Regions from separate parts of the Mus musculus genome. Here all the other regions are reported to be linked to region 3. Evidence: microRNA targets listed by miRTarBase, many of them from high-throughput screens and not tested one by one. Region 3 holds a microRNA gene; each other region holds the end of a gene's coding sequence. Distances are from middle to middle.

Region 1 (5,073 bases), 33 Mb from region 3:
CCTCTAAGGCCCAGTGGCATCCTATACACATGTGACCCTAGCATGGTGGCTTCTACCACATGGTACTACAGTGATAGTCCTCTCTGTTCCATGCCTTCCCCAGAAGACAATGACTACTTCTCCTGAATTGCAAAGGCAACACACATTGCCTGCCATACAGTGGCCTAGATTAATCTGTGTTTATTGTGTGGATGGTGGGGTAGCTAGGTGAGTGGATAAGTGAGTGAGTGGGTAAGTGGATTCGTGGGTGGGTGGCTGGGTGGGTGGCTGGGTGGATGTATGAATGGAAGGGTAGATGGTTGGATGGATGGGTGGGTAGATAGGTGAGTGGGTGGGCGGAAGGGTGGTGAGTGAGAGGGTAGATAGATGGATGGATGATGAAATTAATTGGTGAATGAGAGAGTGAGTGAGTGAGTGAATGAGAGTCAAGAAAGGAAAAACAGGAACTGATTTAACCATTATATCTTCTTCCAGGTCGCCTGCTTTTTGCTGGGTACAATGACTATACCATCAATGTCTGGGATGTTCTCAAGGGCTCCCGGGTCTCCATCCTGTTTGGACATGAAAACCGCGTCAGCACTCTGCGAGTGTCTCCTGATGGGACAGCATTCTGCTCGGGATCATGGGATCACACCCTAAGAGTAAGAAGGGTGTTCCATTTTCCTGTGTGAACAGAGAGGACGGGTGGTGGCCTTCCTGAGCAATCTCTGCCCCTGTCCAGAGATACAGGTGACAAGTGGTTGTCTCTGGGAGGTTGGGAGCCTCGTGCACACAGGTGTTCAACATGGTGGTGAGAAAATAGGCTGAAGCCCTGTTCAGTGGAGTGTGTGAGCGTGAATGCATATGTGTATGTATATGTGTGTACACTCTAACTTCATATCTTTAAACATTAAACTCAACTCTTAAACTATTAACTATTAAAAAGTACCTATCTGTGTCTTCTCAGGTTTGGGCATAATCTTCTGACAGCGTTCAAGAATGTGTGTCCTCTCGTGTAGATATGACTTCTCCATGAGCCCAGGGCTTCCCACAGGTTAGCTTATGGGAGCAACCTCACAGCTCGGCACTCACTCACCCCGTCCAGTGTCTCCATGAAATCTGCCCCCTCCCTGGAAACACTCGGATAGGCCGTGGCACTTCAACTGGACCTTCAAGCCCTTCTGTCATCTCAAAAACTCTGCTAAGTTCTGTCTGTTTTTGAAATTATTCCAGCCAATGGAATTTCACATTTATCAGCATTTAAAATGTCCCTCGTTGTTTCCTTGGATCTAGTCTGTCTTCAGAGCACTTTAAACTGTACCTTTTCTTGGCGTGGACTGTGGCTTCTAGAACCATCCTTGGGATGTGCCGGTTATGTGGACTGTAAGAAAGAATGTTCACTGGTCTGTAATAGAAGGAAATTCTATTTCCAGATGTAACTACACAGAACCACTTTTTAAAACTGTTTTTAGGTAAAATTATCTTTTTTCAACCTGTTCAGTTGTCTTTTTTAAGATAATGTTTGGTTTTGTTTTGGGGGATGAGGGTCTGGGGGAGTCTTTAGAAATGAAACGGACACATGCAGAAAACAGAAAAAAAAAACTGTATAATTCACTTGTGATCGATGGCAGTCTAGGCTGAGCATCCCCGACACTTGAGGGCAAAACAGGTTGCCATTCCTAGCACAAATACTGCAGAGAGCAAACAGAACCTTCTGGCATGGGAAGACAGGCCACTAAACTGATTTAAAAGCCTGCTAGTAGTGTTATCAGAAATGCCTAAGATAAACTGTGTGTTGTCCCTATAAATTATATTCGAATGTCCTGCACAGCAGTTGTACTGACACAGACTGGTGGGCAGGCCATGAATAATAATAATGTCTTTGTTATCCAAGGGGTATCTTGTCTTTATTTGAATCATAAATTCCTTCTAGATGCGACTGGCTCCTGTGTATTACAAGGTCCCTGCTTTTTCTTCCTTTTGTTCTTTTAAAGGTGTAGAGGTTTGTTCTTTTAGAAACTCTTCGTGTAATGAGATGCCATGTTAATAGAAATGGTGGCACATACTTTTAAGTTCAGGTACAGAGAAGCAGAGGCCAAAGGATAGCTTGAAGCCAAGAGATCAAGTTCAGCCTCAGCCACATAGTGAGGCCTCATCTTCTCAATGTTTTTGTTTTGCTCTGGTATTTATTTATTTATTCATCTATTTGATTTTTTTTTTTTAATTCTCTGTGTGTGGTCGTGAATACACAGGCCACAGAGCCCACGTGGAGGTCAGAGTATAAACAGTGGAAGTCAGGAAGTCAGATGGAACTCAGGTTGTCAGGCCCAGTTGGTAGCAAGCATCCTTACCCACTGAGCAGTCTCCCTCCCTGCCTCTTGTTATGTTTATAATGAAACAAGGTATCATGGCTGCCTCAAACCTTCTACATTGTCAAGTATGCTTGGGAACTTTCTATCCCTCTGCCTTGGCCTCTCAGATGTTGATCGGCCAGCGTGCCCTGCACACTAGATGCACTAAGACTGTAGGTGCTGCTAGAGATCAGATCCAGGCCTTCCCTCAGGATTCACGCTCTACCAACTGAAATATAGCCCCAGCTCCAAGACCTCATCTTTTAAAAGAATGCTTAATTCTGTTTTGTTTAAGTGTACTGGGAACCAAAGGACACCTCAGACACTGCTAAAAAAACTGGCATTGTGGATGGCCTTGGGTGTCTGACCAGCCAAAGATTTGTTGACCCTGAAAAGAAGGGGGTATGTGTGTCTCTAGATTGTCTGTCTTGTCTTATCCTACTCTGCCTGGCTCTTTGCTTAGTGCTGGCTTTGTAGCCCCAGCCCCATGCTCCTTACAGAGACCCTCAGAATACAGAACAACATTCTTCCAGTCAGCAGAATGGCACTGTCCCCACTTCAGCAGTCTCTGCGGAACTCAGAGTGACAAAAAGCCACATATATTTTTGTCATGTCATTAATATTATGTAAATATCCCTCAGGAGCCCTGAAAGCGTCTCAGGGACTCAGAAGGGTTCTGGATTATACTTCCACACTCTAAAGAGCTCTCTTTGCTGCCCCTCAGGCCCCCAGGAAGACTCTCCTGGATTAAAGCAGAACTCTAGAGAGTGTGGGCTTAAAGAAGGGACCAGGACAACTGGGCAGAGTTGGCCTCTGGGAGAAGGCCTCTGAGGAAACTTGGGGTAACATCAGCATCACAGAATGCCAAAAAGGAGCCCCGAGAGGGCCCACAAAGGCTAGAGCCCAGCAGGCCTGCTCAGTAGAGCAGTGGTTCTCAACCTATGGGTCTCAACCCCTGTGGGAGCCATATATTAGATATCCTACATATTACATATTAGATATTACATTATGCTTCATAACAGTAGCAAAATTACAGTTTTGAAGTAGCAACTATCATTTTATAGTTGGGGTCACCACAACCTGAAGATAGCCGCATTGGGAAAGTTGAGAACCACTGTACTAGAAATGTATCAATGGAGAACAGACAGGCTCTAGGAGGCATTGCTGGTAGGTCAGAAATAGGCAAGAGTCAGGGGTTGGGGCCACCTTGCCTCCTCCAGCCTGGGACAACCACTTGCAAAATGATGGGTATATCCTTAATTCCCAAACAAGTAGGCCAATTGCAATCGCTACCAGCTGGGCCTGATGACTCAAGTCTGTAATCCCAGCAACTCCGGAGGCTGAGGCAGGAGAATGACCTATTCACTCCCTAGAAAGTTCCAGCCCCCATCTATTTAAACCTCAACAATAATCCGAGGGTCTCCCGCTGCTCCTGCTTGCCCCACCCCATGACGCTCTCCTTGTACCAGGTGCAAGTGATATTCCCAAATGTCCAGGTGGGTCAGAGTGGGAAGTAGCTGAGCCTAGAAAGCCTACTGAGGTTGGACCGGGTGCAGGAGCCAAAGGATGGCCGACTCGCAGGACCCACTGCATGAACGCACTAGACGGCTGCTGTCTGACTACATATTCTTCTGCGCACGGGAGCCGGACACCCCAGAGCCACCGCCCACGTCTGTCGAGGCGGCCTTGCTTCGCTCTGTGACTAGGCAGATCCAGCAGGAGCACCAAGAATTTTTTTCCTCCTTCTGCGAAAGCCGGGGCAATCGCCTGGAGCTGGTGAAACAGATGGCAGATAAGTTGCTCTCCAAAGACCAAGACTTCAGCTGGAGCCAACTGGTGATGCTCCTGGCCTTCGCGGGGACGCTTATGAATCAAGGCCCTTACATGGCTGTCAAGCAGAAGAGGGATCTGGGGAATCGTGTCATAGTGACCCGAGACTGCTGTCTCATAGTGAACTTTCTGTATAATCTGCTCATGGGGCGTCGGCACCGCGCCAGGCTGGAGGCTCTCGGCGGCTGGGTGAGACCACTGGAGGAGGGTGACGGAGATGGCTTGGGAGACGGGGCACAGGAGGATGTGTTGAGTGCCTTTACCGCAGGGTCTTATGTAGCCAGCCTAGGCTGGCCTCAAACCTCACCAGATACTACCCTGCCACTATGGTCCTCCTGCTTCTATCCCATGAGCACCAGGATTACAGGCTATGTCATTATGGTGGGTTTTTGTGGTGCTAGAAGGGGAAGCCAGGGCTTTGAGCATACTGGGCAAGAACTAAGTGAGCCACATCTCCAGCCCAGGGATTTCTTTTTTTTTTTTTTTTTTTTTTTTTTTTTTTCAGGGATTTCTTTATAGGCTGCTCTTACTCAATAGCTTTTATAAAACTTCATTCAGGGGCAGTCAGGCACACTTGGCTTACCCTAACTCTTAGCCCAGGACTGTCAGGGAGGGTTGATTAAGTCTAATAGGCCCAAGTGGTATAAAGGGAGCAGTAACCATGCCCAGACTTACCCTTATTAGAGTAAGGCCTTAGGGATTGTGAAATGTGTGGGGCCACCAAGTGAGGAGCCTGACTGGGATCTTTTAGGCCACTGTACTTTTCCCTGCTGGGCAACCTCCAGGCTCATGGCTTTCGGTTGGTCCTTAATCTCGGTGGTGTAGGCTAACGAGGCAGTCCTTAGCCTCCCTCCAGCTGCATGGAGCTATTGATCAAGGAAAACACACAGGATGAGGATAAAAAGCTTGATGG
Region 2 (5,073 bases), not on the chromosome of region 3:
ACTTCCATCCAGGACAGCCAGGGCTAGACAGAGAAGAAGCCTTGTCTTGAAAAGAAAGATTGCTTGAGATCATTCCTTTAAAGTCAACTATAAATGGCACCGTGTGCTTACTTTCTTAAGTATGCTATTTGTGCTATTTAAGTGTTTCTGCATTTCCTTTATTACATGAAATTACACAGTAACAAAAGAATTACAGAAAAATGGATGTAAAATTTGAGGAGATTATTCAGACTTGGTAGCACAGGCTCCTTTAGGGGAACTTTAAGATGACTAAGGCAAGATGAGAGACAGTTAGACTTGACGATCAAGCCGGTGAGGTCATGAGCTCAGCAGCTCACAGGTTCATTACCGAGTCTGGAAAGTTCCCTGCAGGAAATGAAGAAGGCTGCAAGACTTTCGTGATGACAGCAGTGTAGACAGCACCTATGTGTGTCTGTCTGTGCTGTGTCTCACCGATAACTGAGGCATGGCCGTAGGGTGCAGGGAAGAGATAGTAAAGATGTTTCACCATGAGGAATATAAATGGTTGGTTAATTTTATATGAGCTACCAGGGTCCCTTACTTTAAATGCTTTTGATGTAATGTACATAACCAGATGATGCTGCTGTCTCCTCCTCCTTTCATCTCCTCTCTCCTTCTCCTTCCTCATGTGTGCAAGCACACACTTTCATTGTTAATTTGGTACCAAGTCAAAGTATGGATGTTACTGCTAACCAGCCACTCTTTAAACTCAGGGACAAACACTAAAAACTCAAAATAAAATCAACAGTGGTATGATGCTTGTCCTGTTTGTTTTGTGTTTGGCTTTCTGTTTCATATGGGGCAAAGAACTCCCAATGACTCTAATAAAACTGAGCCCTAATCCAGAACATGTTTACCATTAACCAGAGAGTTTATTTTGCTCCATTGGCTGCTTCAATTTGTAGTGAACCTTTGATTGTGACTGCCAAAACCCAGACAATAACAGGCACATAGCCACTTAACCAATAATGCAAGAAAACACAGAAACAAGAGTTAAGAAAAACCAATCAGAGCACAAAACTACAACATCCTACATTAATAAAACTTTTAATGCACAGTCAACTAAAAGATGCGTGTAAGGATGACAGAATCTCCGTTCACAGGCAGCCAATAGGATTGGAAGTTAACTTCAAACAAAAGTTCAGGTTGTGCATTGAAAATTTACAAACCATTGAAGTTGAAGGGAACAAAAGAAAAATAACAATGGAAGCATCAATGACCATAAATGTGATGGGATGATTAAAGAAAAAATTCAAGTATTGTAAAGTTCTTCAGACATGTCTTGGAAGTTTGTGCATTTCCCATCTTTGCATAGTAAAAAAAAAAAAAAAAAAAGAAGAAGAAGAAGAAAAGGAAAAAAAAGAAGAAAAAGAAAAAAAAAGAAAAAAGAAAAAGAAAACACATCACTTGGCAAAACTCCATAGCTCTATGTGATTCATGTTTCAAACATGCACCTATGTGTACTGCTCACTTTGCTGGTAGAAGCAGCTCTAATTCAGTGGGCTCATGCACTATCCCGGGTGAACAATGAAGTCAGCGCACGCCTCCTCATCCAGGTGTCATTAATTATTGCAGTAAAAGTATAGCAGGTGAGATAACTCGGTCATCACTGGACACTCTTGTTGGGTAATGTTGAACAATGGGAGGCTTGTGCTTTGAATTCAAATTAATAAGAAGGAATACTCACACTCCAAAATAAGCAAATGGATGGCATGTGCAAGAGAAAATGCAGCATGGAGTCTGAAACTACATAACCTAACACCACTGAAAATGATTCTGACCCATTTCGTACAGTACGATTGCACTACCCTCATGTCCGTACACACATAGCCCAATGCTTGTGTATTTTACATACACAAGCATAATTTAACATTGGAGCGTAGGTTTGTTTACCTATGAAACTGTCAGTGTAACAAAAAGTTACACTGACATTTGTCATATGTACATAATATTTGGGGACCACTGTGGTCTGATTTAAAACATAACATCGCACATTTACAATGTTGTTTGTGAAATGTTCAAAAGTTAACCATAAAGATCTGGTTTGTAACTGACGTGGTCGTATGTCGGATCAAGTCACCACGGTGCCTCAGAAATTGTAACGAAATGAGTATGGTGAGGTTGGCAGCTGCTTGGTATCTCATAGTGAAGTGGACCCCGAAACATTGCAACGACAGGAAGAGATACCAAGTTATCTGAATTTCCTCTGACCTTCCTCCAAGCTGAGCCCATGCCATTCAGTAAAGGGGTACAGCCTGTGTCTTATGGAACCAGGAATAAGGCCAGTAAGCCTTATAGATAGCGCTGTTATTACTATATAAACAAACAGCAAATTCAAGCGAAAGACTGCATACCTGCATAGCACCTGTTTCTCAGAAAGCCATCCGAAGGTTAAGATGTTGTTATGGTTTGGGGTAGTATATAGCAATCAAGGTTTCTGCTCTGTGAGGGTGAAAAGCCAACACTTAAAGATATCTTTGGGGGAGGAGGGAAAGTCCAGTTTCATGCAGTCTATTTTTAGGAAATCCTCCTCCCTTCTAGTCAAGGAATATGTTGTAAAACTTAAGACATGAGTCTTGCTGGAGAGGGCCTTAGAGCTAAATGTAAAAAGTAACTCAGTGCCGGGAAGAAATGCATAGTTTATCTGGATGTCTTCTTGGTAAAAATGGGCCAGTGGAGAAGTAGGGGCTCTCTGGCGGGTCTGAGTTCTTGATGGGTGTTCACTGTACACCTGCATGTCCGAAACAAACCTGAGAGAATTTCCTCAGTAGCCTGTTCCCTTAGGATTGCATTGGAAGCTCTCCTGGCAATACTTAAAGAAGGAATGGGGGAAGATGAGGGAAACTCAGACAGTCCTGGGATCTCCCCAGCTACCTGGAGGAAAAAGAAGGGTGTGGATTCATACACAGTGGAATCCCATCGCAACCCAGAGTCTCAGCAAAACACTGAGCAGGGTGAGTTCCTGGAATCACCATTCAGAATGACAACCTGAAATGAGCAGAAATGACCAGCTGTGCTGCCTCGCCACACTGGGGCTCTGTCACACAGGCTACTTCCCGAGGCAGTTAGATGAAGTATAAATGAAATTTATACATATAAAAAAAATACATTTGAATATGAACAGAATGGAAAGCTTAACTTTTTCCAAGCTTCCAGCATTTGAAAGTTATTAATTTTTTTATTTAAGGCTTTAAGTTTCTCCTCCTTTCACATTTACGACAGGGAAAGAGAGCTGTCGAAACCAGAAACTAAAACAATGAGCTTGGCACTTTTGTGATTAATTTGAGAAGGGTCTGTTTTCCTACAGTATATACATGTGCTTATGATGACATCAAAAGTGTTAGGTCCATCAGTACATATACACTCACATTTACATAATCTTTTGTGTTCTTGTTATGGGTTATTTTCTGTGTCCCCCCCCCCCTTTTAATATTTGGTTTCAAACATACTAGATTTGTGCCCAAACTCCCTGCATCTGTGGCTACTTCTGTCTTGTTAAGCAAGCTCAACAATTGGTGGACATGTTAAAAGAGAGGACAGAGACAAAGGAGGAAAGAAAATGACAGAAAAGAAAGAAAAATAAGATGTGGAGCAAGCAACAAACTCAAGTATAGACAGAATCTTCGCACGGAAAACATTTCCATACAGACAAGCAAAATGGCATATTGAAATCTTGTTTCCATATCTACACTTAGAAAAGAACTGTACAATAGCATTGCTCAAGTTCCAGCTCCCATTGCCAGAGGATGCTTGGTCCAGGAGAGAAATGATGGGTACAGCGGATCAACAAGAACACAGTCCAGATGAGTGCTGCCATGGGCGTGTTTAGAGTGGGCCAGGGGCACGTAGGGAAAGGGTTGGCCAGGGCAGAGGTGGAGGGGGGGTGGTGGAGGATGGAAAGGCATTAATCCAGACCCAGGTAGCGTTTGTGTGGTCATCTGTCATCTTCCCCTCGGGATTTCCACTGTAGGATTTGCTGAAGGTTGGCTTGCTAGCTTGTTGTTATATATGCCATGCAGTTTTTACCCTTTCCAAAATTGGATCTTCATGCCACTGGAGTTTGTCCTTGATAGTAAAAGGAAAAAAAATCATGCCAAATCATTTAGAAAATATTAAGTGCCAGCAGGCTGGGGGGCAGGGTCATTTGCTATTTGTTCTTTTATTGCACTTGTTGCTACTCCCTTCTCCTTTAGTTAAAAAGAAAAAAAAGGATTCTGAAGTTGTTGTTGTTTTTTTTAATGACATGGTCTTTAACCCCTCCCCGTTATTGACAGGTGATGGGGGGGGGGTTACTTGAAGTTATTTCCAAAAGGGACCTTTGTCTTGTACCCCATCCCAATTCTCAGATCTGAGGCTCTGTAGTCATTACCACCCAAGGGTCTTCTTTACAGACTTAAGAGTTCCGGCAGCATGGCTGAAAACATGTCATTCCCAGAACCCAACAGTGCAAGGTGGCATTCCTCCAGTGCAGACGATTCAGATGGGGCCTTGCTGAGTGGGATCGAATCTCCTCTTCTTGACGTTTCTTCCAGAGTACGTCAAAGAAGATGCAGAAAGAGGAAAAGAGAAGCCACAATATTAATCAGATGACAGTGAGAGACAAATGATGACAACAACAATGGTGCGTGTCCCAGAGCAGAGTAATCCACTCACACAGAGGCAGTCTCCAAGTAATCAGAAACAAAGAAAAGCTAATGTTTTGGAACATGTTTGCATTTCCCCATTGAGACTACACACTTTGGGGAACACTAGGGGAAACTTCAGATTGTTCATTTTCAACCACAAATTGGTCTAATTTCAGAAGCAAAAACCATTGCTAATTCACCAGATGAAAAGTACTACAGCATAGTAGTTTTCACCTATGAGAACTAGGAAGAACTTGGAAGGTCTTGTAGCTGTTCCCTCCAAACCCCCAGAGCTCTGTAGCAACAGAGCTCACCAAATCCTTGCTCTGCCTGGCTATTTCTGCCTTGGGTGTGTGAGGTCTTACTCCACTAAGGAACAGGCACTTCTCATGGTGGAAAGTTGGCAGACAGAGTGCACAGGGAGGTG
Region 3 (5,073 bases):
TGGTAGCAGAGGCCATTCAACACATCAAATCTATACAGCCTTTACTCACAGCGACACTAATAGGCAACAAAATAAAGCTAAATTTGCTAGGAGGGAGTGGCTTCTGGCGCTATTTAAATTTCAATGTAGGGGAGAAGGCTCACGTTCCACTGGACCACCGTCTGTGGGAGCAGCACGCAAGGGCCAAACACGCGATTTCCGCAGATAGTGAAGCCTCTGCTACTGTAGCTGTCGATGTACACGGCCTGAGGGAACTCGCTTTGCAGCAGTGAGATGCGAGTCCGCTGGTATAACTCATCGTCCGCCGGAGAAAGCCGGTGTCCCCGACGCGGGTTCCTCCTGCGGAGGGCTAAAGTCAGGAAGTCGTGGCCCGGCCGGACTATGCGGGATTGAAAGGTCCGAGGCCAAGTGGTCAGAGGCTGGACAGGGGATGCTCACCACAGCCGGTCGACGTGCCGACAGAGCGGCGCAGGTCGCGTTCGGAAAAGGCAGCGAAATCCTAGAGCAGTAGCCATGGCTGCAACGGCGCTTAACGACCCGGTCGTAGGGACAGAGTTGTCTGTCTCAAAGTAGCCACAGCGCCCCTTGCGTCCCGGAGGGCACCGCGCACCTTGAACGGCGCAGTAGGCCAATGCAGAGCCTCTGTCTCCCCATGCGGGTGTGTCAGCACCTGTCGCCCACCCCGCCCCATGCCTCCAGCGACAGTCCCTAAGGAGGAGGGGGAAAAACACCTGCTAGTACGGGCGCCCTAAGGGTATTGTTTAGGCCACTGCCGCGGCCTGTTCCTGGGATTCTCAGCCATTATTCGGGCTCCCAGGGACCAGGGCGGGGCAGCTGCGCACCTGGTCCTGTTATGAACACCTGGCCAGGGTGTGGTGCCAGCCTCCAGGCCCTTAATCCCAGGCTTTGGAGAATCGGGCTCCGGGGGCGGGGCAGATGGCTAAAATTTCCCTAGCTAGTCTCGAAATCGCTGCTTTCCCCAACCGTCACCAGCGCGACCGTTGGCGACGGCGCAGCGCTCCATGAGAGGCGTGGCCGAGCATGGATTGGCTTCCCGGCAGCGCGAGGGGGTGTGGCCAGATGGTTTCTCCTTAAAATGGCTCCAAGTCTGGGGACAGCTAGAGCCAGCGGAAGGGCACGCCGTGGCAGTGCTGGAGTAGCTGTTCGAGTGGGACTGACTGGGCCAAACCGGACCAGACGTGAAGTAGACCGCGCCTGGAGCACCACCCCGCCCTTGCGCGCTCTGCGCGCGCGTACCGAGAGTCTCCCTCCCCCTGTCTTGAGCTGAGTCTAGGGCCTACTGGCGCATGAGTCCTTGGCGTCCCGCGGCATGGGCATCTCTGCGCACCGGTTCTGTCCTGGCCTCAGAGGAACTTTGTCGCGTTCTCTATCCGCTGGACTAGACGGGTGGGATGCTTGACACAAATGGGGCTTGGCTGTGGGGTTCTTTGCAGGGCCGGTTGCAATGGGCTTGGGGGGAGGCTGTCCTGCCGCTGCTATGTGGGCCAGTTTGGCCCCTGGCACTTCATGAGCTGGCACCGTCACCAGACAAAAGGTCCTAAGCTTTGGGGAGTCCCAGAAGTGGACACATGGGTTTACTTCCTCTCGGGTCTCACGGAATCGCTTCCCTCTTGACGGATTCCGAAGCCTGCCCGGTACAAGTGGCTCCTGCTTGGGACTCACAGGGCTAATCCAGCCCTTCTGATCTAATCCGGATCAGGACCTCGTCCCGGGGGATGCCCCCACCTTCTATTGTTCTGGGGCCCAGGTGAGCGTCTCATTCTCACTAGACTGGTTTAAAACACCTACTCCTTCCTACTCAGCCCACTGGGAAGGGATGGGCGGGTTCCGGTTTGGCCTCAGGGCGAGTGACCTGGGAGCAAGAGCCCTCCTCCAATGGCTGGACAGCGGGCAACGGAATCCCAAAAGCAGCTGTTGTCTCCAGAGCATTCCAGCTGCACTTGGATTTCGTTCCCTGCTCTCCTGCCTGAGCAGCGCCCTGGCCCAGATAATGTGGTCTCTATTCTCAGAAACACTACACTACTGGGCCATTCTGATCTCCATCTCTCAGGTGCACCCCCAGACTGATGGTGGCAGTCAGAGGCGACGAAAAAAGCTCGGGCTGATGGCCCTGTCTGGAATCCCTGGAGAACTCTGACCAGGGAGGTCCTGGGTCCTCTCTCTGAAGGGCCGCAATGGCGGTGAGTCCCACAAGGCCGCCCAGCCCGCAGCTCGCTAAAGATAGATCTTCACTTCCTGGGGAAAACCCACCCCAACCGTCTTCATGGAGGGAGAGTAGCTAAAATCACCAACTTGCTGGTGGGTCCCAGCCCTGCTAGCAGCTGAACCCACACCACAGCATGGAAAGTGCTTTGGAATGACACGATCACTCCCGTTGAGTGGGCACCCAAGAAGCCATCGGGAATGTCGTGTCCGCCCAGTGCTCTTTCGGCACCTCCCAAACAGGGCCTCATAGCCCCGGCCTTCCCGAACTTTTCCTATCTCTAGATGTCACTCCTCTCCGGAGCAAAGTTCACCGGTTGGATTCATTCATTACTGGGGGAAGTGGAGTTTCACGTTACTTGGAAACGAAAGAGTTTGGACATAGAAAAGCTCACCTGCAGCTTGCTCTACCTGAGAGCTCTGCTTATTTGGGTCTTCTCATCATCACATTTGTCTTAAACTGACCAGTTGCCTAAAGAACCAAAGGTGCCGGTAACACCAGTTTAAAGGAAAAACATTAAAGGCTGGTAATCCTGGAATCATGATGACTAATTCCTCGGGTATCAAGATGGGCAATTCTATCCGATTGGGCTTTTACTGGGAATAAAGACATTCCATACCGCAGCCGAGGAAAGGCGTACCAATAATCAGAACTCAAATTTTGCTTTGTTTCGTTACTTTTCCAAGTAGGCGGTAAAGAGTCTTTAATGGAAGACACGAGTGGTGGCACACACCTTTAATCCCAGTACTCAGGAGGCAGAGGCAGGTGGATTTCTGAGTTCAAGGACTTTCTGGTCTACAAAGAGTTCCAGGACAGCCATGGCTACACAGTGAAACCCTGTCTTGAAAAACAAAGTGTCATTAATGGTACAGCCTTATTCCTTTGACATTTCGTCTCGTGCGTCTGGCCTTTAATTTGTTTAAATGGGGCAGAAAAAGAAAAAAGAGACATAAACACAAAGATGTGAAACTTTGGTGGCAAAGTGTCTTGCCTGGTAACAAAGATCCGTTATCAAAGTAATAATTCGGGGTGACGATTTTTTTAAAAAGGAGGAAAAATGGACCCTCAAATTTGGAGGTTAGGGCTCATGAATACAGGAAAGGCCATCGGGAGGGAGAGCTGGAGGCGTGGGTAGAATGTAAGCTCACTTGGCATGCTCGATCGCTCTGGTCCATTCAGGAGAGTCCACGGCCGGATCCCCGCCCCCGCCAGGCGGACCTCCCGGAAGCTCTACGGATAACTTACTTCCTGTTCCATTTAGTCTTCCGGTCGCCATGGCGACCGGGCGCCTTGGGGTTGGCGAGACGCTGGAGGCCCTTAATGCAGCTGTAGGGCCTGGTAGCCCAGTGTGGTTTAAGGAAACCCATGCCCGGCACCTTCGTGTTCGAGACTTCTTGGCACCGCGAAGCGCGCTACAGGCGCGCTTCAGGGACGGCCAGGTGGGTGCGCTCCTGTGGGGCATGCCTAGCGGGATCCACGGAACTACGGCCCACTTACACACATCTGCCTGCAGGTGCCAGAGTGCGTGTTCCGTGCGGTCTCCTGCCTGCAGGGTCCCGGAGTGGCCCCTGTACTGCGCTGCGCGCCGACACCCGCGGGTTTATCGCTCCAACTACAGCGGCCCGCTGTCTTCGAACATGTACTCGGTGCCCTGGCCTCCTATGCTACTCCCGCCAAACCTGCCTCACCAGGCCCGCGAGTTGTCCTACACTGCCCAGCACTGCGCTGTAATTCGGGGACGCTCCGATTGAGCCAGCTGCGTGCCGTGCTCGTAGCCGATCATCTAGTACGGGTACTGCGTGCTCATGGGTAAGTGCGTGTTCGAAGCTATAATGGCAAAAGACCGAACATTTGGGGATAGAAAAGGTGGGAGTCATGATAATCTAAGCCTGGTCCGCAGGCTGAGACAGCCTCCCTTGCTTTGCAGGGTACGTGTGTGCTCAGTGCCCCCGGTGCGGGACCCTCACATGTCAACTTTCCTCCAGAAACTTCGGGTGGAATGGCCCACTGCCTCGAAGAGCACCTCGACCGAAACACTGAGAACCTGTGTTCTTGCAAACCTTAATGGTTCTAAGGAAGCGACGCTGCCCCCTGGCGTCCTAGGCCGACTGTGTCTGAAGGAACTGGTAGAACAGAGAGGCACTGCTGGCTATGACCCCAGCATAGACCACTGTTTGGGTAGGACAAACGGCAGAACATGGGTGGGGTTGTGTCTCTGCACTGCCAGGCACTTCAACACCTCTTGTTTTCTGTAGTGACTGAAGATGTGCTCTCTGTGCTCTCGGAGCTGCAGGAGGCTGTGCGCCACTGGCCAGAGGGCGGCCACCCAGGCCCGGTGAGTGGCTGCCTTGACCTCTGCCCAAACTGGATTTTTGTATCTTTGTAGTAACTGCCCCATCTCTCCTCAGGCTGGGCGTCCAGATGCTGGTGTAGATGACTGCGTGGTTATACACGTGGTTAGCTGTGAAGAGGCATTCCAGCAACAAAAGCTGGATTTGCTCTGGCAGAAATTGGATGACCGGGCTCCTCACAAGCAGGTTGGTTACCAAAGTTAACCAAACCACCTCCGACCTCAGGCCTGGAATACCATGGGGTTTAGAGACTGATGTGACCATAGGCACCCGTGCTACAAGTGCAAATGTCCTGTGACTATGTAGTCTTAAGAAAAAGGATGATGGTGTCTTGAGGAGGTACGAAGGAAGGCTGGTGGTTACAGATTGGGAAAACCAAGGTAGAAAAGCAACTGATATAGTTCCCTGAAGCGGGGAGGGTAGTGCCAACTGGGCTGAGCCCTTCCAGTCTTTCACAGAAACACCTGGTGTGTGGTCCCGTGAAAATGGCTGGTGTAC
Region 4 (5,073 bases), not on the chromosome of region 3:
GTAGACCTGGCTGGCCTCGAACTCAGAAATCCGCCTGCCTTCTGCCTCCCAAGTGCTGGGATTAAAGGAGTGCACCGCCACTGCATGGCCTATAGAACATTCTTATTTTAGGTTATCTGATGTTTCTTTGTGATTCAAGTTCTGCATTATGGCCATATCATCATACATGCAGTGTTCTGGCCACCCCACTAAAAGGCACCCAAAGACCATCTGACCCTGATGTTAAAATTCTATTGCCTAGCCAAGCTCAATAGTTCTTGATCTGAATTCTGTCTTCCACAATTATACTCCACTCAAACTCTGCAAGCAAGAGCCCCTGTCTTCCCTGATACATTTCTATACTCATTATTGATGTAGACTATTTCTACTAACCTTATTTTATAGTTTGCTATGGGACATTTGGCACTACTATTCTATGTGTCTAAGAAGTGCCCTTCCTGCCGGCACCACTGTTATTGTGTCCCCGTCATTTTTTCTTTGGGGGTTATTTTTTAATTACTCCTTATTTTCTAACATAGAAAGATGTTTTCTAGTTCATTTTAAACTGCTCCCTAGATACCTAGCTACATTTGAGCATAGGAAAGTCCATGACGCGGTGAGCACAGTGTGTATGCCAGCCCCTGTTAGCCTATCTGTCTGGCAGTTCTTAAGCAAGCCAGTTGAGGCCTTCTACCTATCTCTTCTTCACGATCCCTAATCTTCTCTGCAGCTTGGTCCAGGCCAACCCAGAAGTCGCCATGGACTCCATCGTCCACATGACCCAGCACATCTCACCCACCCAGCGAGCAGAAGTTGTAAGGATCCTCTCCACTATGGATTCCCCTTCCACGTAGGAGGAGCTTCCCGCCCACCCCTGCCCTGTCTCTGGAGAAGAGAGTCGGGCTGCCTCTCCCATCTGAGACCACTGTAATGAGAAGGCACCGGAGGCCTGAGACTGGATCAGTGGCATTTGCTTCCCTTGAGTGTTTCAGGCTCTGCATGACATCCTGGGCTATAGGATCACACAGCCCAGTCACACATACCCGATTCAGTATTTATTAGCCCAGCTATGATGACAGTCCTCTTCCCATGCACAGGACTGAGAAGGCAATGAAAGGTACTTGCCTGTACCATGAGGTCTTACTAGACTAAAGCAGGACTGCCCTCCGTCCTGCCTGCCCCAGCATAGGGTCGTGTGAACAGTGTCCAAGTGTCTGCAGCCCCTGCCCCATGAGCCACAGCCAACAGGGGAGGGCTGGGGCTGCCAGGAGACGCAAGTCCATCGATCACTACCCCACATTGCAACCAAGCACATGCCAGGCACTGGAGAGAGACAGTCCCATCTAACCACAGCAAGATAACTGAGAAATGTCAGAGCAGAAAATCTGTCGCAAGCCCGTGAGAACACAGAGATAAAGGCAAAGCCATGATCTAACAGGCAGGCTCAAAACCAGATCATGTCATTGTTCCTGGTCAAACACACTCAACCACCTCAGTGGCGTCTCAGTATCCCTGGGGAGACGGTCACCCTGCCACCACCTTATCACTATGTAATCACATAGTGACTATACCTAGGAGCTAAAGGCCTGTGCATAAGGGCCCTAGCCTCTGCGGGTGGATGGAGACAGGCAGGCAGTGCAGGAGCCTGAGGTGGCTAAGAGGAGGCTCTTTTCTGTTGGTGATAGGGGAAGAGTACTTCAAAACAGGAGAAGTCTCTTCTGGGGACAGGTTGTCACTATGGGGCCATGCCTATTCCTGGCAGAAGGTATGGCGGGTCACCCACCTGATGACACCTGTGCTTTCAGCACCAGAAACTGGCCTTCTTGATGTTAGGAGGCTTCCAGGGAACAAGAATTCACCTGCCCTTAAGATACCTTACAGTTCAGTCTCGGTGCTGGTGTTTCCAGACTTCTGGGCCCTATGTGGCCAGCAACACGGCTTCCTCAGGGGTGGCCTGAAAAGTTTAACTACCCATTTGTCCAAGAAAGCAGCTGATGGTTCAGCATTTGTGTTCATAAAGCAAGAATGAAGATGATCATAACTCGTATAACATCCAGTTTCAACTTTATGACTAATACATCTGTCGCTGAAGATCGAGAAGGAAAAAGATACCTGCCACAGAAACCATTCAAGTGAGTACTTCAGTCTGAGCCTTAACCTGGATTCCACGAAAAGAGCTGACCTCCCCTTCAGGAGCACCTCAAGCAGATATTCCAGAGGACCTTCTCAATGGTGCCACATTGCAAGTGGACATCCAAGGGACTATAGATGCAAGTTGCCCCACCCCCACAAGCCCTGGTGGAAGGAACAGGAGGGCCAGAGCTGGATCAGGTGGGGAGCATCCTTAGTCCAGAAGGAAGCTCCCTGGCCCCTGGTTCCCTGCTTACCTGGTAGGTAAGGATGGGATTTATCTCTGGCCTCCACTTTTGCTACAGCACGTCCAATCCCACACCCCCGGTGGTATGAAAGCTGCTTTCCTGGAGAGGTGGAGTGGGCTGGGCTTGTATAAGTCCCTTTTCCCTGCTGCCCCATCCCCGGGACCGGGCCGTCTCAATACGGAGAAGTCAGAGCCACGGCACATGGGCAGTGTGATGGTACCACAGCCCATTACACATGCAGGGTTACTGAGGAGGAGGGTGAATGATGTATTGACCCAGACTGGCTTGAACTGAGATTGCCATATTATCTGTCCACTTGTTCACAAAGCAGCCTTCACACGTGTCAGTGAGAGTTCGATGGACACACACGCCAGCGAGCAGGGGCTTCAGTCCAATGCACTCTTCTCACGTTTTGTTGAAATAAACCTCCACATTTGTAGAAGAGCCACCGTTTGTCATTTCAACTCATGCCCGCAGCCACCCATTATCTGGTCCCACTTTCAGCAGAACTACAGGGGCCAGAGAAGGGACAAACCCCTCCTTGGCTCTACAGTGCCAGCTAGCCTTTGTCTCCTGAAATTGCTAAGAATGAACAGGGTAAGAGCAGGACAGCTTTGTCCAGTGCTGGCCTTGGCCTGCCCTATGTTCTGACACTACCAGTATTCCAGATCCTTCCAGCTAAATACAAGTTCTCTAGGGGTGTTTTCCCATAGAGTGTTCTACTATAGAATTTTTACTGCCAAGATCCAGGTGGGAGTCCTGACAAGTCACTCCCCCAAAGGAGAATTAGTTTAGGGTAGGGACAAGAAAGACCTTAGGAAGAAGGAATTCAGCCTGTTTGTGGGTACCAGCTCCAGAGTCCCAGCCCAGAGAAAAGCCACCCAAAAATCTTTGAAACCCTGAACCGTGCTCCCTGCCAGTACACAGGACTCCACTGTCCTCAGCATTATGAGTTCTGGGACCACCCCATCCTTGAGGATGTTTTTTAGGCTTTCTGGGTTCTAAAGTCTGAGCACTTAGAGCACTAGGGGGCAGGAAAGTCATGATTATGTGTCCTTGACTCTCCCTCCCCCACTTCCTCAGAACAAGCTCTGTGCCCCACCCCCATCCCCAGGAACGGAGGCAGCAAAGCAGGGTAGTAGGGGGTCTTGGATTATTAAGTTCGGTTTTGTTTTGGGGGAATTGTTTCTAAGCAGGGGGTAATCCTTTTTATGAATAACATATTAAGATATATTAGCTCCCTTAAGTCAGTGTTCTAGAAAGAGGAGCAAGAAGAGAAGCTTGAGCCGGGCTTTGGGGCCCATGCTTATAATCTAGCGTTCAAGGGGTTGAGGATTGTGAGATCTAGGCCACCCTGGTCTATAGATGAGCCTGTGTCAAAGCAAGAAGTAGAGGGATACAGAATCCTCATGAGAACTGCTTCCCTGCCTGCAGCTGCACCCTTTGAACAGGGATCTGCGTCAGCACAGAAACCTGCTCTGCAGCTGAGGGGCCAGGGTATGGGCTTTCAGCAGACCCGGAGCTTAGCTAGCACCACTCTGTGCTGCTAAGATAGGCTCTCACTGCCTGCAGTCCCCCTGGGGAGGCCCAAATGAGCATGAGTACACAGACAACTAAGACTGGAAGCCTCTTGTCAGAACGAAGTGTTGGTGTCTGCAGTTATTAATGGCCACTGGGACACCACTGGTATCAGACCAGAAGCCAGCTGCTCCTGATATCTGAATGTGTGGGAAGGTTTAGACTAGGGCCTGCACAAAAAGAAAAGGAAAAAAAGGAGCACTGTCCTGGGTACCACAAAATCTGAGTCCAAGCTCACCTCCCGTGTGTATGTGTGGTCCCTGGGCAGGGACTGAAAATAATACTAGACCGACAGCTATTTTCTATACTCCAAGAAGGCATCTAAGCTGTCTTTGTGTCTACTGGGGAGTTTCTCTGATCCTGGACATAACTGGCTGCCTTGTGGCTGAAAACCCGTACTGGTATTAGGACAGCTTCATAAACTCAGTACTCTAGTAAGCTGTGTCTCTCGAAAGAAGGTGCCCTGCAGTTGGTGAGAAAGTAGAATAATGGCGCCCCCACCCCAGGAAGATAGGAAGCCAGAGCAGGCTCCACTGGGTAGTGGACAGGCTAGATCTTAGTCAGTGGGGCTGAATGACTCGATTACTCTAGAGGAAGCAGGGAGGTTGCTAGAGATGAGGAGAGACTGAAACCACACAAAAAGCTCAGGCTTGGAACTAGGAAAAGGCTAACAGCATTCTGCCTGGACTTTCTGGCTCTTTGATAGTCATTTCACAGAAAGAACTGTGGCACACACCTCTTAGGTGTGTTACACCTTTAATCCCAGCAATCTGGAGGCAGAACAAGAAGTTCACAGGAATTCCAAGCCAGGCTAGGGCCATAGCAAGACCCTGCCCCAAAACTGGACCAGGTGAGTCTCCCAAGCTGGGCTCTTCATTTCCATCCCTGGGAAAGCTTCCGACACCTTGCCTGCACAGTGTGGATTGTAACAGCTTTCCCAGAGTCTAGATACCACGAATCCATTGCCGGATATTACTAGCAAGTTCTCAGAGCAGTTGTTTTTCTTATTTTGTGTGTGAGTGAAGGTTCAAGGGTGCCACAGTGTCTGTGTGTGTGTGTGTGTGTGTGTGTGTGTATGTGTGTGTGTGTGTGTGTGTGTGTGTGTGTGTAGATGAGAAGACACCGTGGGTTCAGGGGA
Region 5 (5,073 bases), not on the chromosome of region 3:
TGGGAGGCAGAGAGAGGTGGATTTCTGAGTTCGAGGCCAGTCTGGTCTACAAAGTGAGTTCCAGAACAGCCAGGGCTATACAGAGAAACCCTGTCTTGAAAAAACAAAAAATAAAAATAAAATAAAATAAAATAAAATGGGGCCCTCTTCCCAGATGACCCTAGCCTGTGTCCAGCAGTCAGAAAGCTAATCAGCACGTAAGGGTTACCCAACTCAGGTATATTATACCACTGTGTTGGTCCTGTTGATAGTGATGGCTAAGTGCAGGGAGTATAGAGTCGTATATACAATATGAAAACCAAGATGACTGCTAGGTAGAAAGTATACTATGTGGTTACCTAGGTCCCCAGCATTGCCCCAGCTCCTCTCCGTGCTTGTCTCCCAAGCCTGGCCTGACACCTCCTTTTGTCTTCACATAGAGTCCTGTTTCCTGTTCACACTCACACGCCAGAGGCTGCCGCCCTTTTGCCAGCAGGGATACCTGAGAATGCAGGGGCTCTCAAGCACCAAGAGCCTTTGGCAGCATGGTGTGGAAAGCAGGCTCCTGCAGGACTACACGGCCATGGAGAACAGCAATAGGTGGCTTGGTGACCACTCCACAGCTCCAGAGCCTCTGACTCAATCCCTTGACAGCAACAAAGAGGAGCTCTGAGCATCCTCCCCCAGACTATGGTGCCTGGCACCTCTCCAGAAAACCGGGGAAGCCTCTTCTCCCACCAGGACCATCACAGAGATAACAGACAATGGGACTGCCCATAGAGTGCAGAAGGCTGGGTTACAGTCACAGAGTGGTGTCCCTTCCTGTGCTGGCCCCTGGTGCTAGATGCAAGGTCAAGAGGAGGGTACCTTCTGTCAGGTATGAGCTGCCTTCCACATCCAGCTTGTGTCCAACTTGGACCATCACTAAGTAAGCACCATGCTGGCCTTGTGTGCCTGCTTCTAGGACCAGCCAAACGCCTTTTCATTTTCCTTCTGGTTCACTCTGCAGATGGCCTTGGCCCTACCTGGGGAACATCTCAAAGCTGAAGGCCCCTCGTTTCCACAGTGGGCATATGAGAGTCAAGGTTTAGAGTCTTCAGCAGTGGGGCAGACAGTTGGGATCTCTGCTTCCCAGTACAGATATGGACCCCAACTCAGAAGCATCAGATATCTCCTAGTGTCCTTATCCAGGAGGCCTGCCCCTATGCCACCCTTCCTTTTCACACTGTGATGCCTTCCCTGGCAGTCAGGCTGGGTATCACAGGCCCAGAGGGCTTGTATGGGGGCAGAGACAGGAAAGTCCTGCAAGGTCATCTGTCCAACTGAGTTCTCGGGAGCAGGGCACCTCAGTGCTGCCCTGTCCCCAAGATCACACTCCCAGGCATTGGCAGCCTGTGTGTCCCTCTCCCACCCTGCTGCCTGGCACCCTGAGCCATGCCTTCCTGAGGCCTGCCTGGGCAGGTTTAAGGTGATGCTGTGCCTGCCGCCGTGGGCACAGAAATGTTGACGCTTGCCCAGCTCTGGGCTGCCCTGATGCTCCTCTCTTCCTTGCTTTCCCTCCCGAGTCCACGCTCAGCCAACAGATTAGCAAAGAAGCCATGGGGAAAGCATTGCCCGCAAGTACAGCATGGTGATCACGTCATGATTTCCCATAGCCCCAGAGTGCAGGTACTGTTCCTCACCAGCCTCCATCAGTCGTCATGGAGGTCGTCAGACGTCCAGGGACACAACCCAAAGCCCCTTCGTGGGATCATCCTCTCTCCATAGGAGAGTCGTGGCTGGGTCCAAGCTCTCTTAGCCATCTGACCTACCTGCAGCCATCTTCCTTTCTGGCCTACCAGATGCCAACAGGAGAATTCAACACCTTCATGTCACCAGGGGGAACTGTGTACCCCTGTACCTATTTGGGGTAGTTTGCACAGTGCCAAACCTTCTAACTAAGTCATCATCCAAACCCAGGATGTCAGTGTTGCCATATTCCACACAGATTGATTGGCAAGCCAAACTGGGACCCTGCCACCCCACCCTCTTCTCCAAAGCATTTTCAAATGAGTCTTTGATTTAGCACAACAAAATTGAAACCTGCTCCTTACATCTCGCCCTCCAGTCATCGAGGATGGCTGAGCCACTTGTTTGGTGCCTTAGCAAGTAGCTGGCTGACACCCTTGTGTAAGACATCTGCTGCTTCCTGTCATCTGCCAGATCGTTGATTCCATCAAAATATCAGGCAGCCTTATTTGTTTTTAACACAGAGTATTCTGTTCTTGCTCAGTTGACTAGAGATGTCTTCTGCTTCCCCCACCCCATAGGGATTCCGTGTCCTGGCCTGGTACTTATTATATAGCCCAGCCTGCACTTGGACTCACAGTCATTCTCCTGCCTCAGCCTCTCAAGTATTGGGATTACAAGCTTGAACCATAAAACTTTCTTTTTTTAGATTTATTTTTACTTATGTGTACTTGTTTGTGGGTTATGTGTACATGAGTGAAGGTGCCCAGAGACCAGAAGAGGGTGTCAGAGTCCCTTAAAGCTGGAGTTACAGGAGGTTGTAAGCCACCATGTGTGGGGCTGAGAGCTGAGCTCAAATCCTCTGGGAGAGCAGTAAGTGCTGAGCCAATTGCTCCGGAACCCCTTCCCCATAACTGTTTTGAAGAAAAGATTAGAAGTAAGGCAAGCTAGATGTGGCACACACCGGTGTCCTAGCATTAGGGTGGCCAGGGCAGGAGAACTGAGGTTTAAAGCTAGCCTGGGCTACATGGAGAGTCCCAGTATGGGCAACTTAAAAAGATCCTCTCTCAAAGAAACTTTAAAAGGACAAAAATAACTGGGCATGGTGGTATATGCCTTAAATCTTAGCATGCCCAAAGCATGGGGTGGAGAATCTCTTGTGAATTCAAGACCAGCCTGGTTGACTCAGTAAATTTCAGGCCAGCTAGAGTTATATGAGACCTTCTCTCAATCAATCAATCAATCAATCAATCTTCTCTCAATCAGTCAGTCAGTAAGCAGGAATAATTATGGTGAAGAAATGGTTGAAATAAGTGAGAGACACAAAAAGGAGTTATGTAACTTCTCATGATCATCCCTTGAGGGTGTAGGGAAGGGCTGAGGAGTTTTCCCCACAACACTGCATACGATGTGGCACCGGTGAGGGGGCAGCAGCTGCTTGAAGCTGTGATGATAGGAAACCACGGTGGCTCTGCTGGGACTGTGGGACAAGGTTCTTTATTCCTCTTTGGATCAAATTTGTGTTTATTTTTCGAATGTGATTATATGCTACTGAAATAAAAAATACATTTATTTTTAAACAATTTCTGCTCTGGCATTTTGGGATGGCTGGGAAAGAGTAGACATGGGAGTCTTGCAAGAGGCTGTGCTCTACTGTGCTGGTCCTTGTGGTGGCCAGAGTAGAGGCGCCCTAGAAGGAATCACTAAAAGGAAAGGAGCACCCTGCATTATGCATTGGGTGCAAGCGTGCCCAGAGACAGAGTAGGGAGAGACACTTGTAATCCTAGCACTTGGGAGGTAGGGGGTAGAGGCAGGGGGGTCAGAAGTTCAAGATCACGCTGGGATACAAAAGACATCTTTTTTTGTTTTTTGTTTTTGTTTTTGGAGACAGGGTTTCTCTGTGTAGCCCTGGCTGTCCTGGAACTCACTCTGTAGACCAGGCTGTCCTCAAACTCAGAAATCTGCCTGCCTCTGCCTCCCAAGTGCTGGGATTAAAGGCATGCGCCACCACGCCTGGCTAAAAGATATCTTTTTTTTTTTTTTAAGACTTACTTATTTATGTCCTTTATGCACATGAGTACTTCGTCTGCATGACATCTGTGCTCCAGAAAAGGGCATCAGACAGGTGTGAGCTGCCACATGGGTGCTGGCAGTTGAAGTTAGGACCTTTGGAAGAGCAGTGAGTACTCGTAACCACTAAACCATCATCTCTCCAGCTCCTATAAAAGATATCTTTAATCCCAGCCCTTGGAAGGCATAAGGAGGAGCAGGTGAGTTTCTGCAAGTTCAAGGCCAACCTGGTCTATGTAAGGAGTTCTACTCCAACAGCTACATAAGGAGATCCTGCCTTAAAAACAAAAACAATAAAATAGGATGTGAGTGGTTGGAAGGAAGGCTAAGGAAGTGGGTGACTGATGCACTCCTGTGTGGAGTCTGAATTCAGAGACAGCATAGCATAGCCATCCTTGGAAGCATCTTCTCTCAAATGATAGGAAATCAGAGATAAAATTCCTCATGTGGGAGAGACACCCCCACCCTACCCCCCGGGCTGGTCTCCAATGCCTTGGACAGCACCAAATTCCTTCTGTCTGATAAAAGTCCCTGAAGTCTACTTGGAAACCGACTGGCCAATAAGCAAATCTGTGGCCAGGGGATGTGGCTCAGGTGGTAGAATGCTTGCCTAAAACACACAAAGCCCTGGAATCATGGTGGTCCAGCATGGTGGCATACGTCTGTAATCCCAGGACCCTTAGGAGGCAGAACCAGGAGGATCCAAAAGTCAAGGCCAAGCTCTCAACTCTACACTGAACGTAGAAGCTAACCTAGAACACATTATATGATATCTCAAAAAAAAAAAAAAAAAAAAAAAAAAAGCCCATGTCAGCCAAGTATAATGTTACAGGTCTATAATCCCAATTGAAAGGACCAACCTCAGCTATATGTGAGTTTGAAGCCACCCTGAACTGCATGAGACCTACCTCAAACTGCAACAGGGCCCCAGACCTTAGCACAACTGACCTCATTATGGAAGAGCCATTCAGGCTGTAAAACTCAGAAGTCGATAGTAGCATCAGCCAGATGAAGACAAAAACCTAATCGACCAAAGTCCATAGTTATAGGAAAGTCTCTAAATGTACTAGCCTTGCTTTTTAGCTTTGGTAGTTCTGACTTTAGCTAACTGTTCTTGTTAACTCAAGTGTGTCAGCCCAGAACATGGTTTTGGTGCTTAAAAGGTCATCCTGAGAAAGGCTCGGTGCTACATTGGGATCCTGAACACCCATTGTAGTCGGTGGCCAGCTAATAAAGACTTTCCATTGGCTTACACCCATGTCTGAGCAGACTTCTCTGGGGAATACCCCACAACGA
Region 6 (5,073 bases), not on the chromosome of region 3:
TGCCGCTTTGCCACATCACCTCAAACACAGCTTCACTGATGTTTGTGCACTTGAGACGGAAGTGGTAGTGACAGTCGATGGCAGTGATATCGAAGGTAGGGGTGGCTCCCTCTTGGAACTGGTGAGCGCTTAGCACTTGGCATACCAAAGGGCATTTGCTATTCTTAGCATTGAACACTGGGACTGAATTCAGGCTAAGAATAAGCAAGTTCGCGTCTGTGAAAACTGCAGTTTGATGTTCTGGGAAGTGGGCTGTGATTGTGCCCATGCTGTTTGGGGTCTGACACACAACGGAAAGGGGTCATGGGATCGCTCAACCTAGATTTAACCCAAGTTTCTCTAGCAGAGCCCATGGGCACCTCTTCATGCACCTTGGCTTCAAGCTTTCAGTTGTTCAGTGATGCCAATGACCACCGCCTAAAGCATGCTAAAACAGCAGACCCAGTGCTGGCTCCCTGCTTCCTCCCTGAGCCGCTGGCTAGCGAGACAGCAGAGCCTTCAGCAGACAGACCCTCTTTTGCCACTGACTATTTCTGTATCTAATTTTGTCTCTAAGCTTCAGGGCAGTGACTGTATGCAATGGTTTAAATCTGTCCCTCCCAAAAGTATGTGTTAGAAACTTGATCCCTATCACAACACTATTGAAAGTGAGGCTTAGTGGGAGATTTTCAGGCCATGAGGACTCTAGCCTCATGGACAGATTAATGCTGAATATAAACGGGCTTGCTGCTTGAGGTGGAGTCTTTGCTCTCTTACACCCCCTCTTTGCCTCCCTAGAAGGTGTCACTACCTTGATACTGAACTCCTAGCAACCAGGCCTGTGAGAAAGAAGATTCATTTCTATTCATAGCGCTCTGTGTATATGCTCTTGTACCAACACAAAGTGGACAGAAATACTCCTTATTTAAATTCTCACCATACCAGGCTCTCAGCATCATGTCAGGACTACACCCTCCTGTCAGGGAAGCAGCATGGTGTGAAGTCCTGGCATCATGTCAGGACTGCAGGATAATGTTTTATTTCAGAGTCTCAGAATAATGGGAGGAGCTTAGTCATATGTCAGGACTTCAATCTCTTACCATGTTCTCCCCAACCCCCCCCCCCCCCAGCGTCTAACCAGCTTTTGAGTGTCATGTCAAGGTCTCAACACGTCAGGAAGTCAGGGACTCAGCCTTCAAGCCTTCAGGATCACATCAGCACCCAGCCCTTAGCATCATGGCAAGCATCATGGCAGAATCACACCAGGCATTCAGTAAGGTCAGGACCTCAGGACCACTTCATGCCCTCCACATCACGAGGGACCTCAGTTCATGTTAGAATCTTGGGTTCATGTCATATCCTCCAAACCATGTCAGGACGTCTGTGATATCATGTCAAACCTGAGTATCGTGACAGGGCCTTGGCATTATGTGAGACCTTAGCAATATATCAGGCAATCTGAATCAGGCCAGGACCTCATAATTATGCCATTATCTCTGCATCATGTGAGGTCCTAAGCATCACAAGATGTCCTCACTAGGATGGGACCTCAGCAACATTTCTGGATGTGAGCACATTGTCAGATCCTTAGCAACAAGTCCTGACCTCAGCATCTGCATTATCACATGAGTTCCTGAGCATTATGGAATGAAACCAACATTATTCATTCCCTCTGCATCTGCTATTTCTTCAGTATCATGTAACATCTCATGTCACCTCACGAACATCTCATGTCATGTCAGTACCAGATTCATCTATCAGAACCACAGGATTCATCTATCACCACCAGAACCTCAGCATTGTGTCTGTCACTCGGATTACATTAGGTCCTCAGCCTCATGTAATGCCCTCAGAAAAATAGCACGAGTCTAATGTCATGTCAGAGCCTATTTAGCATACCATGCCCTAAGTGTCATGGCAGGGGGGTCAGCATCAGAGGAGGTCTTCAGCCTTGTGTCCAGACCTTGACATCTTGTCAGTACCTGCATCATGAATGGATCTCCAGTATCATGTTATGTCTTCTCTGTCATGTCTGGACCTCTGTGTCATGTTAGACATTCAATATTGTCATGTTTAGAGCTCAGCGCCATGTCAGGACCTTGTTTTAATATCCTACGAGGACTTCAGAATAGCGCTGTGACTTCAGCATCATGTTGGGACCTCAATGTCACATGCCACTCAGCATCAAGGCAGGCCTGCAAGCAGCATTTTAGAAACTGAATATCATATGCAGGTGCTCAGCACCAGCTGAGAACCACAATATGTGATCAGGTAGTAAAATACAGGGTCACCATGGTGGTCCCTTAACCGGCATGTCAGTGCCTTGCTATGATGTCAGGACCATGACGCAGGGCCAGCATTATGTAAGGCCCTTAGTTAGCATCCTGTCTGTCAGACCTTCTGCACCATGAGGATCTCAGCATCTTATCAAATGCTCAGCATCATGTAATGCCCACGGTATTATGTCAGGCCTTCTGAATCAATCATAACAGCAGCAGCATATCATAACCTCAGCATTGCAGGCCTCTTGGTATAACATACTTCATGTCATATCATGATACTTCATATATCATATCATAGGGTCCTTCGGCATCCTATTAGCTCCTTAGTGGCATATCTTGACCTCTTTACCACATGAGGCTCTGGTGTCACGTGACATTCTCAGGATCATGAGTAGTCCTTAAGATTTTGTAGGGCTTCAGGATCTTGCCCAGGGCTCCGCATCGTGCCAGGACTTTAGCAGTGTATCAGGCTATACTTACTTTAAGATAGAGACCCCCCCCCACACACACTATCCCAGTTTCTCCTCCCACGTCATAGGGCACTCTGCTCCTGGACTTACCAATCCCACCTCCTGTGCCCCTAGCATTCCCATGAGGTTCACTGAGCAGAAGGTCAAGCCGTCAAGGACAGATGGACAGACAGTCAGGACACTCAGACACATCTATGTTTATTTTTTTTTCCTGTCAGAAAATTTCAAGAATTACACCAAAAAATACTTCAGCCTCTGCTACCTACTGACAAAAATACACCACAAAATTATAAAGCGCTCTGTGGTTTTGCTAGGGAAGATTTGTTGATCCGTTTCAGATGACAAATGAATTTACAGGTGACTCAAGGTGATGGGAAGATGGGGGGAGGGAGGAGAAATCAGATGAGAGTATCTGGCAGGATGGTTTGAGATATACTATTCCTATTACCCAGCTGCTGTGTACAATAATTTCAGCAATATAGCAAGCCACAAAAAAATACCCTTAAACGGCCTATGCAGACCAAATGGGCAATTCCCCTGGCCAGTTCTCATTCTCTTGGACCTGGGGCCAGCACCTCCAAGAAAAGGGATTTCCTGGAATGCTCGCGAGAAGCAGGAGGCCCTTGCTAAAGTGCCAGTGAGAAGCCTAAGGATGTTGGCCACACCTCCCTGTCAGGTGCTTCTAGAACCTAGCTGGGAAGTCTGGACAACTCTGTCAACACAACACAGTGAGCAAACAGTCACCTTCTCCAGCTTCTTTTAGGAATGAGCACTGCCTGCCCAATCTTCAAGTTTCTTCCCGGCTGTCAGATTTCAACTAACTAGAATTCAATTGTCATTCCTGCTGTCATTAGCGCTTTGGGGAAAAAGCAAAACCCGGGTGAAACCGGGTGCCTATGCTTTTAGCTGGGTCCAGAGCGGCCCGCCTGACCTCTCTTCCTTTCTCTCCCTTCCCACCCCTGCCATCTTGAAAACACGGGCAGCATCTAGGGATACACCTAGAAAAACAAAAGAAAGACAACATCTATCCACGCCTGTGTTTGCTGAGGCACAACAGCCGCCCTGTGAGCATCGGAGCCTAGGTCCCCATGGGCTGCCCAGGGCTGAGCGTGGATGCCTCCCCCATGAGTTTGTGCAAATCTTGCAAGCTCACCATTGAGTGGTACTCTGTGCATTCCTAGTTGAGAAATGCCAACATCACCTTCCTCTCCAAATCAGCCTTGCCTGCCATCGCTGTGCTTCTCTCCTGCAGACCACAGGCAAACTGAACAGCCCACCCTTCGCCACGCAGTACTCGGACGCCCACACAGAAGCCATGGGGCCTTATCTAAGAAGTCCCAGACAGACTCTGCTCTTTACTGCCCTGCTGTGTCTTCCACGTGGAGCCCGTTTCATGCTTTTTAAATTCATTTTATCCGGCTCCCCTTTCTGTCTCTAAATTATCCTAACAAAGAATAAGCGGCGGCTTTGAAAATATCTTACATGGGAACAATCAACGCGAAACATGCCTTTGTACACGAGCCTGACTTGGGTACGAAGCAACAATACAAAAGAACAAAAGGAAAGATCGATTCAGACAACTCCAGTGCACAATATTTTTGGGGAGTGCTCCCCAGACCCCATCCTGCCCCGCCCCCACCCCGTACCCTAGCAGTACAGTATTGTCTTGTAGCTCCAGCCTTGCTTAACTAGTGGGGAGGGGGGTTTCCCTCTCCACCCACCCACCCCCATCCCAGCTGGGGCAGACCTCTAATGGCCCTGCGTCTTGGGTGGCTTGGGCTCATGGATGACAGCAGCTGCTGACAGCCATGGCCCGATGGCCCGGGCAGTGCTCTGCTTGGCCACACTGTAGTGGCTGATGACTGTGTAGAAGCGGCTCCTGGAGCTGGGGTCCTGGGACGAGTAGTAAGCATCCAGCGAGGCCGGGATACAGCGCTTGTGCTGGGGAAGAAAGAGATAAGAGTCAGGAGTAGCCGGGTGGGCTGCTGGCACCCACGGGGACGCTGATGGCCTGTGCAGGGACTTCAGTTCCATCAAGTACCCCACAGGGGACTCTTCTCCTGCACCTGGCCACAGTAGACCTTCCCCAAGATTATACCATCACCATCTTCAGAGGAGAGGAAATATACCTACTGTTGGTACTGAGGTAAGACCAGACACATAGGCTTGATGGCCATACGACACTGCTCTTGGTAGCATGACATCAGGTCCCCAGTGGCTGTCTGGGCCATTGTCCACAGATAATGACAATTTCATGTCCTTTGTTTTATATATGTATTTGTTTTTTTTAGTAAAGTTATTGGTTCCTAACATTAATATGTATTTCCTTATGTATTTATCTG

Evidence for each region. The annotated mature microRNA mmu-miR-425-5p reads AAUGACACGAUCACUCCCGUUGA and lies in region 3 at 2,377-2,399, shown strand. An mRNA with a match to its seed (bases 2 to 7 or 8) in the 3' UTR can be bound and repressed. Matches are read on the target gene's strand: a 7mer-m8 pairs with bases 2 to 8, a 7mer-A1 pairs with bases 2 to 7 and ends in A, and an 8mer does both.
Region 1: the mRNA of Gnb5 is a reported target of mmu-miR-425-5p. The part of its 3' UTR that is shown has no 7-base or 8-base seed match.
Region 2: the mRNA of Adam23 is a reported target of mmu-miR-425-5p. The part of its 3' UTR that is shown has no 7-base or 8-base seed match.
Region 4: miRTarBase lists Acaca as a target of mmu-miR-425-5p. The part of its 3' UTR that is shown has no 7-base or 8-base seed match.
Region 5: the mRNA of Foxred2 is a reported target of mmu-miR-425-5p. The part of its 3' UTR that is shown has no 7-base or 8-base seed match.
Region 6: the mRNA of Nsg2 is a reported target of mmu-miR-425-5p. The part of its 3' UTR that is shown has no 7-base or 8-base seed match.

What each region holds. Positions count from the first base shown.
Region 1 is chr9:75,344,007-75,349,079 of GRCm38, forward strand. Gnb5 (guanine nucleotide binding protein (G protein), beta 5) reads left to right here. Exons shown (of 13, transcript NM_010313.2): 12 at 475-641; 13 at 947-1,917. The coding sequence ends at 958. It overlaps Bcl2l10 (Bcl2-like 10), which reads left to right and starts at 3,752. Exons shown (of 2, transcript NM_013479.2): 1 at 3,752-4,349. The coding sequence starts at 3,897.
Region 2 is chr1:63,592,081-63,597,153 of GRCm38, reverse strand. It overlaps Adam23 (a disintegrin and metallopeptidase domain 23), which reads right to left. Exons shown (of 26, transcript NM_011780.3): 26 at 1,053-4,546. The coding sequence ends at 4,498. Among named protein-coding and RNA genes, the nearest start is that of Gm22281, 19 kb to the right of the region's middle.
Region 3 is chr9:108,566,413-108,571,485 of GRCm38, forward strand. Mir425 (microRNA 425) reads left to right here and starts at 2,365; the gene lies at 2,365-2,449. It overlaps Ndufaf3 (NADH:ubiquinone oxidoreductase complex assembly factor 3), which reads right to left and starts at 1,024. Exons shown (of 5, transcript NM_023247.2): 1 at 439-1,024; 2 at 144-339. The coding sequence starts at 515. It overlaps Dalrd3 (DALR anticodon binding domain containing 3), which reads left to right and starts at 3,480. Exons shown (of 12, transcript NM_026378.3): 1 at 3,480-3,663; 2 at 3,738-4,033; 3 at 4,152-4,402; 4 at 4,480-4,559; 5 at 4,633-4,761; 6 at 5,034-5,073. The coding sequence starts at 3,499. It overlaps Mir191 (microRNA 191), which reads left to right and starts at 1,907; the gene lies at 1,907-1,980.
Region 4 is chr11:84,398,851-84,403,923 of GRCm38, forward strand. Acaca (acetyl-Coenzyme A carboxylase alpha) reads left to right here. Exons shown (of 54, transcript NM_133360.2): 54 at 710-2,801. The coding sequence ends at 833. Among named protein-coding and RNA genes, the nearest start is that of Aatf, 110 kb to the right of the region's middle.
Region 5 is chr15:77,938,739-77,943,811 of GRCm38, reverse strand. It overlaps Foxred2 (FAD-dependent oxidoreductase domain containing 2), which reads left to right. Exons shown (of 9, transcript NM_001017983.2): 9 at 420-3,290. The coding sequence ends at 652. Among named protein-coding and RNA genes, the nearest start is that of Txn2, 12 kb to the right of the region's middle.
Region 6 is chr11:32,057,042-32,062,114 of GRCm38, reverse strand. Nsg2 (neuron specific gene family member 2) reads right to left here. Exons shown (of 5, transcript NM_008741.4): 5 at 2,904-4,672. The coding sequence ends at 4,481. Among named protein-coding and RNA genes, the nearest start is that of Gm12108, 42 kb to the left of the region's middle.